Linked DNA regions of Oryctolagus cuniculus. The protein of the gene in region 3 purifies or fractionates together with the protein of the main gene of each other region. This does not show direct contact. Links are inferred from orthologs where the notes say so. Each region holds a gene or a part of one and is shown on either strand. Other genes may lie near its edges. The genes, in order: MYOCD, MRTFA and SRF.

Region 1 (3,543 bases), on a different chromosome or scaffold from region 3:
CTCTGTTCCTTCTGTGACTTGTGGCAGGTGGCACTTTCCTGCTATGACTAGCTTATATCTGTCTCTTTCCTGCCACATCTTCACTGCTCCTTGGAGTTCCCCAAGGAGGAGGGATCTCTGGACCCTTCACACTCGTGACTCCTTCTACCGATCAATTTATGTCATCTCTTCCTTTTTCTCAAAGATACTGCACTATGACCTTATCTCTCTGCTCCTCGCCAGTCCTTTTCCTGGAACTCTATGCTTCTTTCTTTCTCCAACACTATTATCCCTTGTGCCCCTCTTCCAAACTTCAACACAAAACTTGCCTGGTTGTCCGCGGTGGTTTGCAAATAAACCATGGCCATTTTAATCATGATTTCTGAGTTGGCCCCAGAAAATAACTCCCTAGGGATACATCTGGTTCAATGTACCTTGAGTGGACTTGATTCTTTCTGAAATGAAATTTACTGCTGTCTCTGAATCTCATCATTCACTTTGGAGGGTAAGCGGATCCCAGATTTAAACCTGATTCCTGGTACCCACCTTTTGCGGAACACCTGGGCTTTTGGGACAAGCATTGCCTCCAGCACCGTGACTGCTGTCTGCCTGGGCTCCAGGGAAAGAGGGGTGAAGGCTGGAAGATTGAGGAGAGAAGCTTGGAGGGTGGCCATCGTGTGCTCCCGAGTTCTGGGAAAGGCAGAAGTGACAAATTAAATGGCCAGCAGCAGAACACTTCCTTGTGTGTGGTCTCTGTGGTCCTGGCCTGTGTGCCTGGTGTTTTACCTTTGCAAACCTTCCTGAAGTCCATTATCAGATGAACCTGCCTAAACCTGAGTTTGGACAAATCACCTACTACTCACCAACTTCCAAGGGCTCTGGGGTATCCACAGCATGCAGTCTCCATTCGTAACCTGGGTACTGGCGCCATCACTTCTACAAACCTCAGTTCCACTCTTCCCACCACGAGCATCCCTCAACATCCTACCCCCTAAATCTGTCCACGTGGAATGTCCTTTCCTGCTTTCTCTTTCCTTTTTAATGTGGCGCTTCCTGGACAGTCCGTTTCCTTTACAAACTCTCCCTAGAGATTTCCAGCCCTTTATGATCAATCTGTGCCCTGACTCACCACCACCTACTTTGTGCAGCATTGATGTCCTAAGTACAGAGCAGTTGTGTTATCCTATCTTGATCTTCATCTTGCGATCATCGAATTGTTAATGTCTTCAGAGAATCTTTGTAAATCATAAATCACTGTAGACATGCTGGTCTTTTTGATAGCACCAATATCATCAGAATGGAAAGTTATGGCCCAGAACTTTGTCTTGAGCCCCCCCCCCCTTTTTTTTGTTTTTGTCTTTGGTGCGTAGGATACTATGCACTGAACACATGTTTGTTAACAATGATGATAGCCCCTTTAAGTCTCAACTCTTCCCAGAGTACCCTCAGAGGAGTGGGCATCACTGATTTAATGTGTTATTCTGCTAGGTTTGCTAACATTCATTTTCTTTACCTTGAGCTGAGTGCATATTGACAGGGTAGAGATACCCAATGTGAACAGGGCAAGTTCTTTAGACTCAACAGACCCTGGGTTCCTGTGGTCCTGGGCAAGTGGTCTAATCTCTATCAGCTTCCTTTTCCTCAATGGCAATTATTGAACAACAGATTGGAGCACACAGGATCACTGTGACGTTAATGAGATACTTACATCTCATTGCTACTTGAAATGTGGCAGGAATTTTTTTTCTGGGTAATGTAGGTTTCAGGTTTTGATAACGTAAGCACAGTTCAAAAAGATTGTGGAAAATGGAATTAAAAGATACATTTCTTTTAATGAAAATATTTTGAAACCCATGCATAGTTTGTTTCTGCATAATACACATTTTCCATAAACTTTTAGAAGACCCCTTGATTAATTTTTTTCTCAAATTGACTTCTGACAGACTTTCCTTATAATTTTCCACCTTCATGAACACAAGGAGTCTTTGCTGAGCCCCTCGTCTAGTCTTGGAATTAGTAACTCTTGTAAGCCATCTCTACAACTCCTCTCATTCTGTCCCAGCTGTACTGGCCATGTTTCTGATTCCAACTTCCCACACACTCTCACTTCGGGGCCCTCACACTTGATGCTCCTTCTTTGCCTTCAATGCCTTCATCCCAATATTCGTTAAGTTTTCTCTTTTATCTCTAGCAACATTTTGCTAAAATGTCCCTGGCTCCTCGATTTAAAGTTGCAACTTCCAAACCCCTCATATACACCTCTGTGCTTAATACAATGCATGATTTGCATTTTATTTTTGCTTACCATTTGTTTAGCTAGTTCAAACTAGCTAGAGTCATGGCCCAGCACATAGTAGGTGCTCAGTTAATACACTGTGTATACTATTACATGGGGGAAGAGTATGGTTTGGTACTTTTCCCTTGGCCATCCTGATGAATTGGTTTGGCCCATGGTAAGGTTTGATACCAAGAGTCCTGAGAGCTAGGTCAGTAAATCACAGCCCACAAGTCAATTCCTGCTCATTGCCTGGTTCTGAAAATAAAGATTCATTGGAACATAGCCATGTGTATCATTTACAAGATGTCCATGGCTACTGTCATGATGCAAGAGCAAAGTTGAATGGTTGTGATACAGATGGTATAACCCACAACATCCAAAGTATTTACTATCCGGACCTTCACAGAACAAGCCTGCCAAGCCCTGTCTTGGAGGACAGGTGAGTTTGGTCTGCTGTGATGGCTTGGAGTGTTTGGATTTCCTGCTGGGCTTTTGGTAAACCTTAGCATTGAAATCTCCAAGGGAATCCATTTCACATTCCCTGAACGAAGAGAGCAGTGGCCCCTGGTACAAGCCATTCTTACCTGGGCAGAACACACCTGGCTGCTGATGGGCGAGGAGACCCTGTGTCCTTCTCCCTGAGCCCCGGAAGATGACGGGAGGAAGTAATGGTTGTTGGGGGATGGGGGCAGGCTGATGTGCTGGGGGCTCTTCACCACTCCCAGTGGCGAATGCTGAGGGGAGCACTGGGGGCTGAGAAACGTGGAAGAAAGTACATTGGTTTGACCTGAGGACTCCACACAATGGGTGTTTCCAAGGGGCAGGAGCTGGGCAGTCTCGCAAGCTGGCGGTTGACTCTCCGATCCATTATTTTGTCTTTTCACAGATACTGGTTGGGATGCAAAAGGGCAGCTGGAGACAGCGTCTTCCTGCTTGATGGGGGCAGCCAAGAAAGGCAGCGGCTTCTTCTCAGAACAGTTGTTCCTCTTCTGCTTCTGCAGTTGCATTCGCAGCTCCTCCACCTGCCTTTGCTCCTGCTGCAGTTTCCAGGTGAGCTCATTGATCACCTTCTGCTTCTCCACCAGCATCTTGTCCTTCTCAGAATCCAGCCCGTCCAGCTCCGGAGGCCCAGAGCCCCCATTGAGGCTGCTCATAAGACTTTCCTCTGTGCAGACATGGACTGGGGACGGGTGCAGGAAGGAGGGGGAGGCGTCGTTAAAGGCGTCGGGTAGGGATCCAGCCACCGACAGGTCGGAGGAGGCAGGAGAGATGGGGGGGCTGGAGCT
Region 2 (3,995 bases), on a different chromosome or scaffold from region 3:
CAGGACTAGAACCCAGCACCCATATGGGATGCCGGCACTGCAGGCGGAGGATTAACCAAGTGAGCCACGGCGCCGGCCCCCCCCACCCCGACATATGCTTTCAAATCAGATTTAAGTCCTCACTCACTGTATGAGCCTAAACAAGTTACCTGCCCTGAACCGCAGTTTGCCTCTCCTAGAGACAGGGAAAATCAGCCTCACAGGGGCTTGGGAAGGCTGAAGCAGCACATCACAAGATGAGCTGAAGGCCTGGGGCACAGGGCGCATCAGGAATGCCAGTTTCCTGCCTCTCCCTGGGGCTGGGAAAACCTTCTGACCTCAGCAGCTCTCTTGGAGCCCCTCAGCTCAAACACCATCGTCCCACACAGCCAGAGAAGGGCCCTCTAGCCTCTCCTACAACCCCGGGCTTGCGGCCACAGTGCACGCCCTGTTTACAACCCTCCGCCCCTCCTACCCCTCCCACTGCTGGGAGCTGCTCACAAGCAGGGACATCTCGCTATCCTGATGACCCCTGCTCTCGGAAAAATACCTGGCACATTCGAGGGGTGGAACAAAAGTCTACAGGTGAGGGGCCAGCATCGCGGTACAGTGGGTAAGCCACCTCCTGAGACACGCGCCAGTTTGAGTCCCGGCTGCTCCACTTCCAATTCAGCTCCCTGCTAATGCACCTGGGAAAGCAGTGGAAGATGGCCCGAGTGCTTGGATCCCTGCCACCCATAGAGGACGCCCAGATGGAGTTCCAGGACCCTGGCTTCAGTCTAGCCCAGCCTCGGCTGTTGCAGCCAGCTCAGGACTAAACCAACAGATGGAAGATCTCTCTCTTTCTCCCTCTCTCTTACTCTGCTTTTCAAATAAATAAATAATTTTTAAATAAAAGTCTGCTAAATGAATGCACAGCGTCGTTATCTAAGCAGGACCCACCGTCACTCCTGGGTGACCCAGGTTTTACAGCTTTGCCCTCACAGGCTGAGATCCTGGTTTATGCCCCGAGTCCCTCCCTCGCAGAATCTGACAGCACTCGAAGGACGTGGCAAGTCTGCAGTTGATACTTCTGGATGACGGGGTGTGATTCCAGCATCTCTCCTGATTTAACTCTTAAAAGGCGCACACACCCTAGTGGGAATGACTCTTAGCCTTAGCAGTTACCAGCAAGGACCAGGAGCAAGCGCTGCCGCTACCCCCAGACGCCTCCTTCACGTGTTTATCATTTCAGTAGAAAGCATCAGAAAGCCCTTTGACTTGCAGTGAAAAACGCAAAGGACATCGGGCAAAGCTTACGTTCAGCGACTTCCAGGGCCAGCCGGGCACCTCCTCACTGCTTCCCGCAGTGCCACCCGGAGTTCTGGGGCTCCCCTGCAGGGAAGCCCCTTACTGAACATGCAAGCTGTCCTACAAGCTCCAACTTCCTGCAGAAGCGATCTCAAACGCTGGCAAGCTGGGGACATTCCGAATTTGAAACTGTGTGAAAACGTGGCACCGTAGGTGGCCACACACCTCCCGCTCCTGCCTGGGAGGCGGTTACCTGGGGACCAGGCCGCTCTACATAACACGGAGAAAACAGAGAAATCCAGCCAGAGGCACCACAGCCCGGCCCTTAACTCAACCTCACAACAGCTAACAGCTCCTGGGCCCTGACTGCGCGCCAGGCTCAGATCCGATGGACACGACTACCCCCATTTCCCAGATGAGCAACCCGAGGCTCAAGCTGGCCACTGGCAGATCTGGGAGTCGCCCCGCAAGGTCCAGTCCCAGCTGCTGCACAATACCAGTGCTTCTCCCCTTTTTTTTTTTTTCGTGGTCCCACCGAGGGGCGCAGGGTCAGGCGAGGGGCTGTCAGCAACGCGCACTGACGGACGCTTTCTTACGAGGCTGAAGTTCTCGGCTTGCAAGTTTCAAACCCGCACAGGACCCTGCCCACCTGGCGGGGTTCGGGCTGCCACTCAGGCATCCAGCCCTGATGCGTCTCCTGGCCCGGAGATCCCGAGGGTTGCACAGAGCGCGGGGAACCCCGCCACCGCAGCCGCTGCGCGCACACACCCGGGGCGCAGCCTGGGCGGGAACCCCCGCGCCTCCCCGCCCAGCGCAGCGAGGCGAGGCGAGGCCCGGCCCGGCCCGGCGGGTGCACAGGTGCAAGGCTGCGCCCGAGCGCCCCGGCCCGCGACCCCCGCCCCGACGGACGAGAGGAGTGGGAGCGGCGGGCAGCGCGGGGAGGACCGGCGACGCGACGCCCGCACCCCGGGGGCGCGCGCGGCGTGGCCGCGAGGAGAAAGGATGCGCGGGGCGGCGCGGGGCGGGGCGGCGGTGGGGGAGGGGTCCCCGGCCCGGACTCCCACTCACCGCGGCGCTCTCCTGGCCCGGGCTCCGCGGCTCGCCCGGCTCGGCTCCGGCCGCTCGCGGCTCCTCCCGAGGCTCACCGTCCAGGCAGGGCGCGCGGGGCCGGGGAGAGGTCGGCGCGCGCCGAGGGCGTGTGGCGAGCAGAGCCGAGGGGGTGGGGAGGCAGGGCCGGTCGCGCTCGCCGCCGCCGCCGCCGGGGCCACCACAGACACAGCCGCCGCCGGCTCCTCTTAGCCACGGAAGCTGCGGGCCCTCCCACCACAGCCGCCTCCCGCCTCCCGCCCCGCCCCGCCGGAGGAGTGGCAGCGCAGCTGGCCAATCAGAGGCCCAGTCGGGGCAGGGCTCCGCGGCCCAGAGGGGCGTTCGGGGAAGGAAGGGGAACGAGGGAGGAGGGGACGGCGGCGCGACTTCCTGTGACTGACAGCGCGGCGCAGCCAATGGGCGGCGGGGAGATGACCTCATCGCGGAGGGAAGTCTGGAACTGGCGGAGCGGCTCTGAGGAGGTGGGAGGAGGTCGGACCTTAAAGAGGCCGCAGCCCCTGGCCACCCTGTCAGGGGAAGGGCGGCGGGCCGGGTCGGACAGCCGAGTTGCCGAGGGGTCAATGCCCTGCCGCGAGCCTCCAGACCCCATCCCGAGCCTCCCCTCAGGGGCTCACGCCCCGCCTGAGGCTCCCGAGTCGGGGTTTCACGGTCACGCTTCCCAGAAGACGATCGATTCCCTGAATTCCCGGGCCAGCCCCCGCCCCACCGAGGCCCCGGCGCCCCGGCCCTCGCAGTCGGTCTCCCCAGGTGGGAAGGGGGGCTCCTCCTGACACCTGCCGACCCCCTCCGCCCCGGGGAAAGCGCTCCGGGCTTGGGGAGGGGGCGGCGCGGAGTGAAGCCCCGAGCTTGCGGTCGATCGGGAGACCCCAGGAGCGGGCCAGGGAGGCCGGTGCGGCGGAGGTGTGAGGGGGCCCGAGACCCTGGTGCGGGACTTGCACAGGGAGCGGGAACGCGGGCTACAAGGCGGGCGAGGCCCCCGCTCGCTCCGCACCCTGCAGCCGCGGAGAAGGGCACGGAGCTCCGACCTACTGGGGAGGAAGGGGAGGGGGCGCTTCCCGGAGGCTTCCTGGGATGGGGTCCTCAGGCAGCTGGAGGAGGGGCGAGCAGGGTTTTCTAGGTTCCTGGAGGTCCGGTGCCAAGGCCCAGCGGCTGAGAAGTGGCGCTGAGAGTGAACTCTTAGGAGGACCCCCATCCTCCTCCTGCGGGCTCCTGGGCCTGCGTGCTGGTGTGGGTCTCAGATGGGGGGCAGGGGGGCGCCGCTGCCGTCTGCCAGTGCTGCAACAGCCAGGTGGCCGGGACATTCCGGATTGTTCATGTGTAAGTCATCGTCGGGGCCAGTACCACACGCTGGAGTTAGGATCCACGTGTCAGACACTTTTCCCCCAAGGCAAAAGCACCCTTCCACAAAAGCCCTGGCCAAAAAAAATGAGTTATTCCACAAATATTTACCCTGAGTAAGTCATGGTGCAGGTGATAGAGAGATAAGCTGCCGTGGCCGCCCTGGGGGTGAGCCCACCTCCCTGCAGGGAGGCGGAAGCCGGTGCCCTGGTGACTCCGGGGCAGGAGTGTCTACAGCAGGTGTCCCGAGGACAGTGGACCTGGGAGAAAGGACTGCTCCT
Region 3 (4,265 bases):
GGGAGGGAGTGGGACCCCCTTACCCTTCCTTCCCCTCGCACAGGCGATCCAAACACACCTTGGTCTCCCCACTGCTGTCAGACTCCGACACCTGGTAGGTGAGATCTGTCTCTTCAAAGCCAGTGGCACTCATTCTCTGGTCCGTGGTGGGATCTGAGCGGGGTGGCGAGTCTGGCGAGTTGAGGCAGGTCTGAATCAGCGCCTTGCCGGTCTCACTGGTGATCATGGGCTGCAGTTTGCGGGTGGCAAAGGTATACACATGGCCTGTCTCACTGGCCACCAGCAACAGCACCTGTGTCCCTGTCAGCGTGGACAGCTCATAAGCCTGGGGGATGGGGAGGGAGATGGGCAGGTCAGCAAAACTGTTGATTTCTACCTTCCTTGGGAAGTAGGAGAGGGGAAAACTACTCAGTGAGCGCAACTTCCCACTCCCATAACGACCTTTTGTTTGAGTGACTGGCAGTGTGTGTGTGGGGGGGTCCTATCATGATATCTGAAAGTGAGCTTGAAGCAGCAAGAGGACTCAGGTCCTCTTCCTTTGAGGAGCAGCCCCAGTGACCCACAGACACCCCCAGCAAACAGTCACATCTCGCCAGTGATGGAATATATAACCTCAGGGGACACGGCAGGGGGTAGGGGGAGAGGCAGTCAGCCTCCCCCCAACACTGCCTGGTGCCTGGAGCTTCACAGACCCCCCACCCCTTCCCCACAGTCACAGGGAGCAGGAGAGACCCCTACCAGACTGGACTGCACACCTGACATCCGTGATAAGCACTCACCTAAGACTGCCCATAGCTCTGCCCAGGAACCACAGAGGCCTTAACCTGTTGCCATGCCCTAACTTCTCTTTCTACCCAAGCATACTGTGCTACTCTTTTCTTTGACTTGGGAAGGAAGAAGGATGGGAGGGAGGGAGGCAGGGGGGTTTCCCTTCATGAACCACCTCCCCACAGCCTCCCCACTGATGATCAAGTGACAAGGGACACCAATATGAGAGTATGTAAGGTGATGGCAGGTGGGAGCTGTATTAGCAACAAATACCTTGCCATGAGCCCAGGAAAGGGACCCCCAGGGATGCTATCAACCATCCCAACAAAGTTGCACAACCCACCTTAGGAGCAGTTTGGATTTCCATATGGGACAGACAAAAACACCAGTCACTGTTCCCAAGGTTCTAGTGTTTTTTTTTTTTTCTTTCCCAGTTCCTCTGCTTCTATCCATTCCCATATCTTTCACAACCCCCCCAAAATGACGCCTTTCCTCACCACTTTTCACTGGGTAACTGGCAAATTTCTAGGTCCCTGTGCAAACCTCTCAGATTCCCCCCCCCCCAAAACTCCACGCACAGATTCTCCTGAAGGCTGGGAACCCCACTGGTCCCCCAGGACAGGCAGGTCTGCGGCCAGTCCTGCCTGTGGATGCAGTGCAAGGCACAGGGCAGCGGGCAGCCAGCCTCCGGCCTCGCTCCCCTACCTGGTCCCTCCGCTCGCCTGTCGTCCCGGCTAGCACCATTCCAGTGGTGCCCACCGCCGTCCCACGCAGGCTCCAGCCTGCTCACCTCCATACCTGCTCTTCTGCTCCCCGCTTTCCTGGCGCCCTCCATGGAACCCCAGGGTGCACCGGACCCGTACAGGCTCCCGCGCCTCATCACCCAACACGCGGGCCGCCGCTCCTCGGCCCCTTCACTCGGCCAGGGCCTCTTCCTCTCTCGCGCCGGTCACTCCCACCTCGGCGCCCTTTCCCTCAATTCCGGACGTCGGCGCATCTCCCCTCTCCCCACTTTTCCCCGACAGCCCCTCCCCTCGCGCCCTCCCCTCCCACACACCTCCTGCAGACTCGCCGCCTCTCACCTCCGCCTCGGCGCTGCCTCCCTGAGGGCTCCCCCTGCGCGTCCCCACCCCTCGGGGCTCCCCGCGGCCGGCAGCCTGCCGGCTCCGTACCTTCTTCATGATGCCCGTCTTCCTCTTGCTGAAGGTCGTGTAGCGCCGCAGCTTGTTGTCGATGAACTCCATCTTGATCTTCACGCGGCCCCGGGTCTTCTTGCCGGGCTTGGCCCCGCTCACCGCGCCGCTCACGGGTCCGTAGCCCCCGGCGGCGGCCGCCGACGCTTCGGGCCCACCGACCACCATCTCCATCTCGCTCAGGCTCCGCTTCAGGCCGCGCCGCTCCGCGCCCAGCTCCTCCTCCTCGCCCGACTCCGAGTCGCCCTCGCTGCCGCTGTAGAGGGCCCCCGCGGTGGGCGCCGGGGTCGTCGCCGCCGCCGCTGCAGCCTCCCGCTCCAGGCGGCCCGACCCGAGCCCCGCGCCGTTCCCGGGGACCCGGCCCCCGTTAGCCCCGCGAGTCCCGCCGCCGCCGCCTCCTCCGCCCGGCCGCCCCGTCGCGGTCCGGTTCAGGCTGCCCCCCAGGGCCGAGCCCCGGCCCAGAGCCGCCGCGGCCCCAGCTTGGCTCGGTAACATGGCGCTCAATGCAGGAGGGCGGACGGACAGTCAACGAGGGATCGGAGCCGCCGCCGCCGCCGCCATCGGCTTCCCGGCGAAACCCGGCACTCCCGCTGCTGCTGCTGCTGGTGCCGCTATCCCTGCCGCGGCCGCCGCTGCGAACCCGGGGCCCCTGCACGCCCGGGCCGACCTGGGCCCTCACTTTCCTGCCCCTGTGGCCCGGGTTGCCCCAGGCCGCGCGCAGCGCCCCCTGTCCGTATGCTAGGGCGGCGCGCTCAGCGGCCGTCAGCGTCCCCCGGGGGGCAGGGGCTGCTGGCCGCGGCCGAGACGGCGGGTGGAGGGGGCCGGGACCACGCGCTGGCGGCGGAGGGATCCCCCGACCCTTCCCCCCATATAAAGAGATACAATGTTTCCTTTTATGGCGAGGCCGCTCCTTATATGGTGAGCCCCAGCGCCCCCGCCCTATTGGTCCGCGGTTCCGGCACCTCCGCTCCCCATTGGCCCGCAGGAGGCGCTTATTTGCATAGACATACCGAACTCGCTGCTGTCATCCCGCGTCAGACCGCGATTCCGAAAGGGGAGGAGCCGACGCCTCTTAAAGGAACAGGACGCGAGGCAAGACTCCGCCCCCTAACCCCCCAACCGGAGAATGGTGGAGAATTGGGAGGGACCTGCGGAGGGGCTGCCTGGCAGAGGACCGGAGCGCCGCGGAGAGGGAGCTGAAAGCAAACTTGAGGGAGCCCCCGAGTGGACTGGGGGGTTTGCTGTAAATGAAGAAATCACAGTCCAGATTGCAACGACAGAGACGGGAGCGTTTCCTCACGCCTTCGTGAGGGAGGAAAAGTCACTGGCCGAGCAGCGGGGGCTTGGATCCGAGGTGTTTTGGACATCGCGTCCAGCCGCTCCGGGTTCCAGCCCAGCCCCCAACCCCCTTCCCTTTCCCTCGCATTTCAAGGGGACAGCGCTTTCCCACCAGGCCGGCCCCCGGTCCTCATTCATCATCCTCTGCACTTAGGGGGTCTTTGGTAGACGTACTTACATCTGGAGAAGGCGGGGGAGACGGACAGCCGGCCTCCTCGTCCCCGATGGGGGCAGGGAGGAGAGATGGAGAGCGGTGAAGACTTCCAGCTGCACGCTGGGCTGGGGGAGGGGATGGCCCACGGCGCGGGCGGCGCGGGAGAAAGCGTGGGGGGCAGAAAGTTTAAGCCAAGCACGCTCTTGCTTGAGTTCAAGCAAGTCGGCTCGGGGAGCCCAAGGAGGTAGGGGATTGAAAAGGTGAAGAGATGGGGTGGTATGAGGCCCAAGCTAAGGGTCTGAGTCCGGGTCCTTGCCTCAATGCAGTGAAATCAGGTTGGACTTCGCTGTTACAGAAGTTAGTCCAATCTGCAATCTGCCTCTTGCTAGCCCTGTGAAACAAGGGATGTCGATCTCTCCAAACTCCATACTCCTCAGACCACGAGATTCTTAACACAGGTTCCATGAGAAAAAGACCCAAGAGCAGAGGAAGTGGTCAGGGAAGAGTTAAGAGCAACCTGGGGTAAGTCACCTCTTCCCAGGCATAAACATCCTGGTGACTCCTGCCTTAAAAATCCTTTGTGAAGATTCAATAAAAACAGTTGTGAGCCATCAGGGGTAGTGGTAGTGACATTAGTGTACTGCAACCAGCATTTAAAAAAAAAAATTGGGGCAGATATGGGGCATATTGGTTCAGTCACCCCCTGGGAGCCTCACAGCCCGTACCAGTGCCTGGTTGAGTCCTAGCTACTGGTACACTTCCCAGCTTCCTGCTAACGCACACCCTGGCGGACAGCAAGTGATGACTCAGGT

The links.
Region 1: the proteins of SRF (region 3) and MYOCD purify together in Homo sapiens (affinity purification with western blotting; 3 studies listed by BioGRID and IntAct, with this or other methods). This does not show direct contact. The link is inferred for Oryctolagus cuniculus from reciprocal best matches to the Homo sapiens genes SRF and MYOCD.
Region 2: the proteins of SRF (region 3) and MRTFA purify together in Homo sapiens (affinity purification with western blotting; 4 studies listed by BioGRID and IntAct, with this or other methods). This does not show direct contact. The link is inferred for Oryctolagus cuniculus from reciprocal best matches to the Homo sapiens genes SRF and MRTFA.

What each region holds. Positions count from the first base shown.
Region 1 is NC_091448.1:56,827,196-56,830,738, reverse strand, and holds part of MYOCD (myocardin), read right to left. Parts: coding exon 2,842-3,543; intron 670-2,841; coding exon 526-669; intron 1-525. UniProt on the Homo sapiens protein: Smooth muscle cells (SM) and cardiac muscle cells-specific transcriptional factor which uses the canonical single or multiple CArG boxes DNA sequence. Acts as a cofactor of serum response factor (SRF) with the potential to modulate SRF-target genes.
Region 2 is NC_091442.1:116,748,083-116,752,077, forward strand, and holds the start of MRTFA (myocardin-related transcription factor A), read right to left. Parts: upstream 2,812-3,995; 5' UTR 2,797-2,811; coding exon 2,338-2,796; intron 1-2,337. UniProt on the Homo sapiens protein: Transcription coactivator that associates with the serum response factor (SRF) transcription factor to control expression of genes regulating the cytoskeleton during development, morphogenesis and cell migration.
Region 3 is NC_091436.1:126,878,392-126,882,656, forward strand, and holds the start of SRF (serum response factor), read right to left. Parts: upstream 2,804-4,265; 5' UTR 2,457-2,803; coding exon 1,941-2,456; intron 1,744-1,940; exon of another isoform or gene 1,567-1,743; intron 326-1,566; coding exon 59-325; intron 1-58. UniProt on the Homo sapiens protein: SRF is a transcription factor that binds to the serum response element (SRE), a short sequence of dyad symmetry located 300 bp to the 5' of the site of transcription initiation of some genes (such as FOS).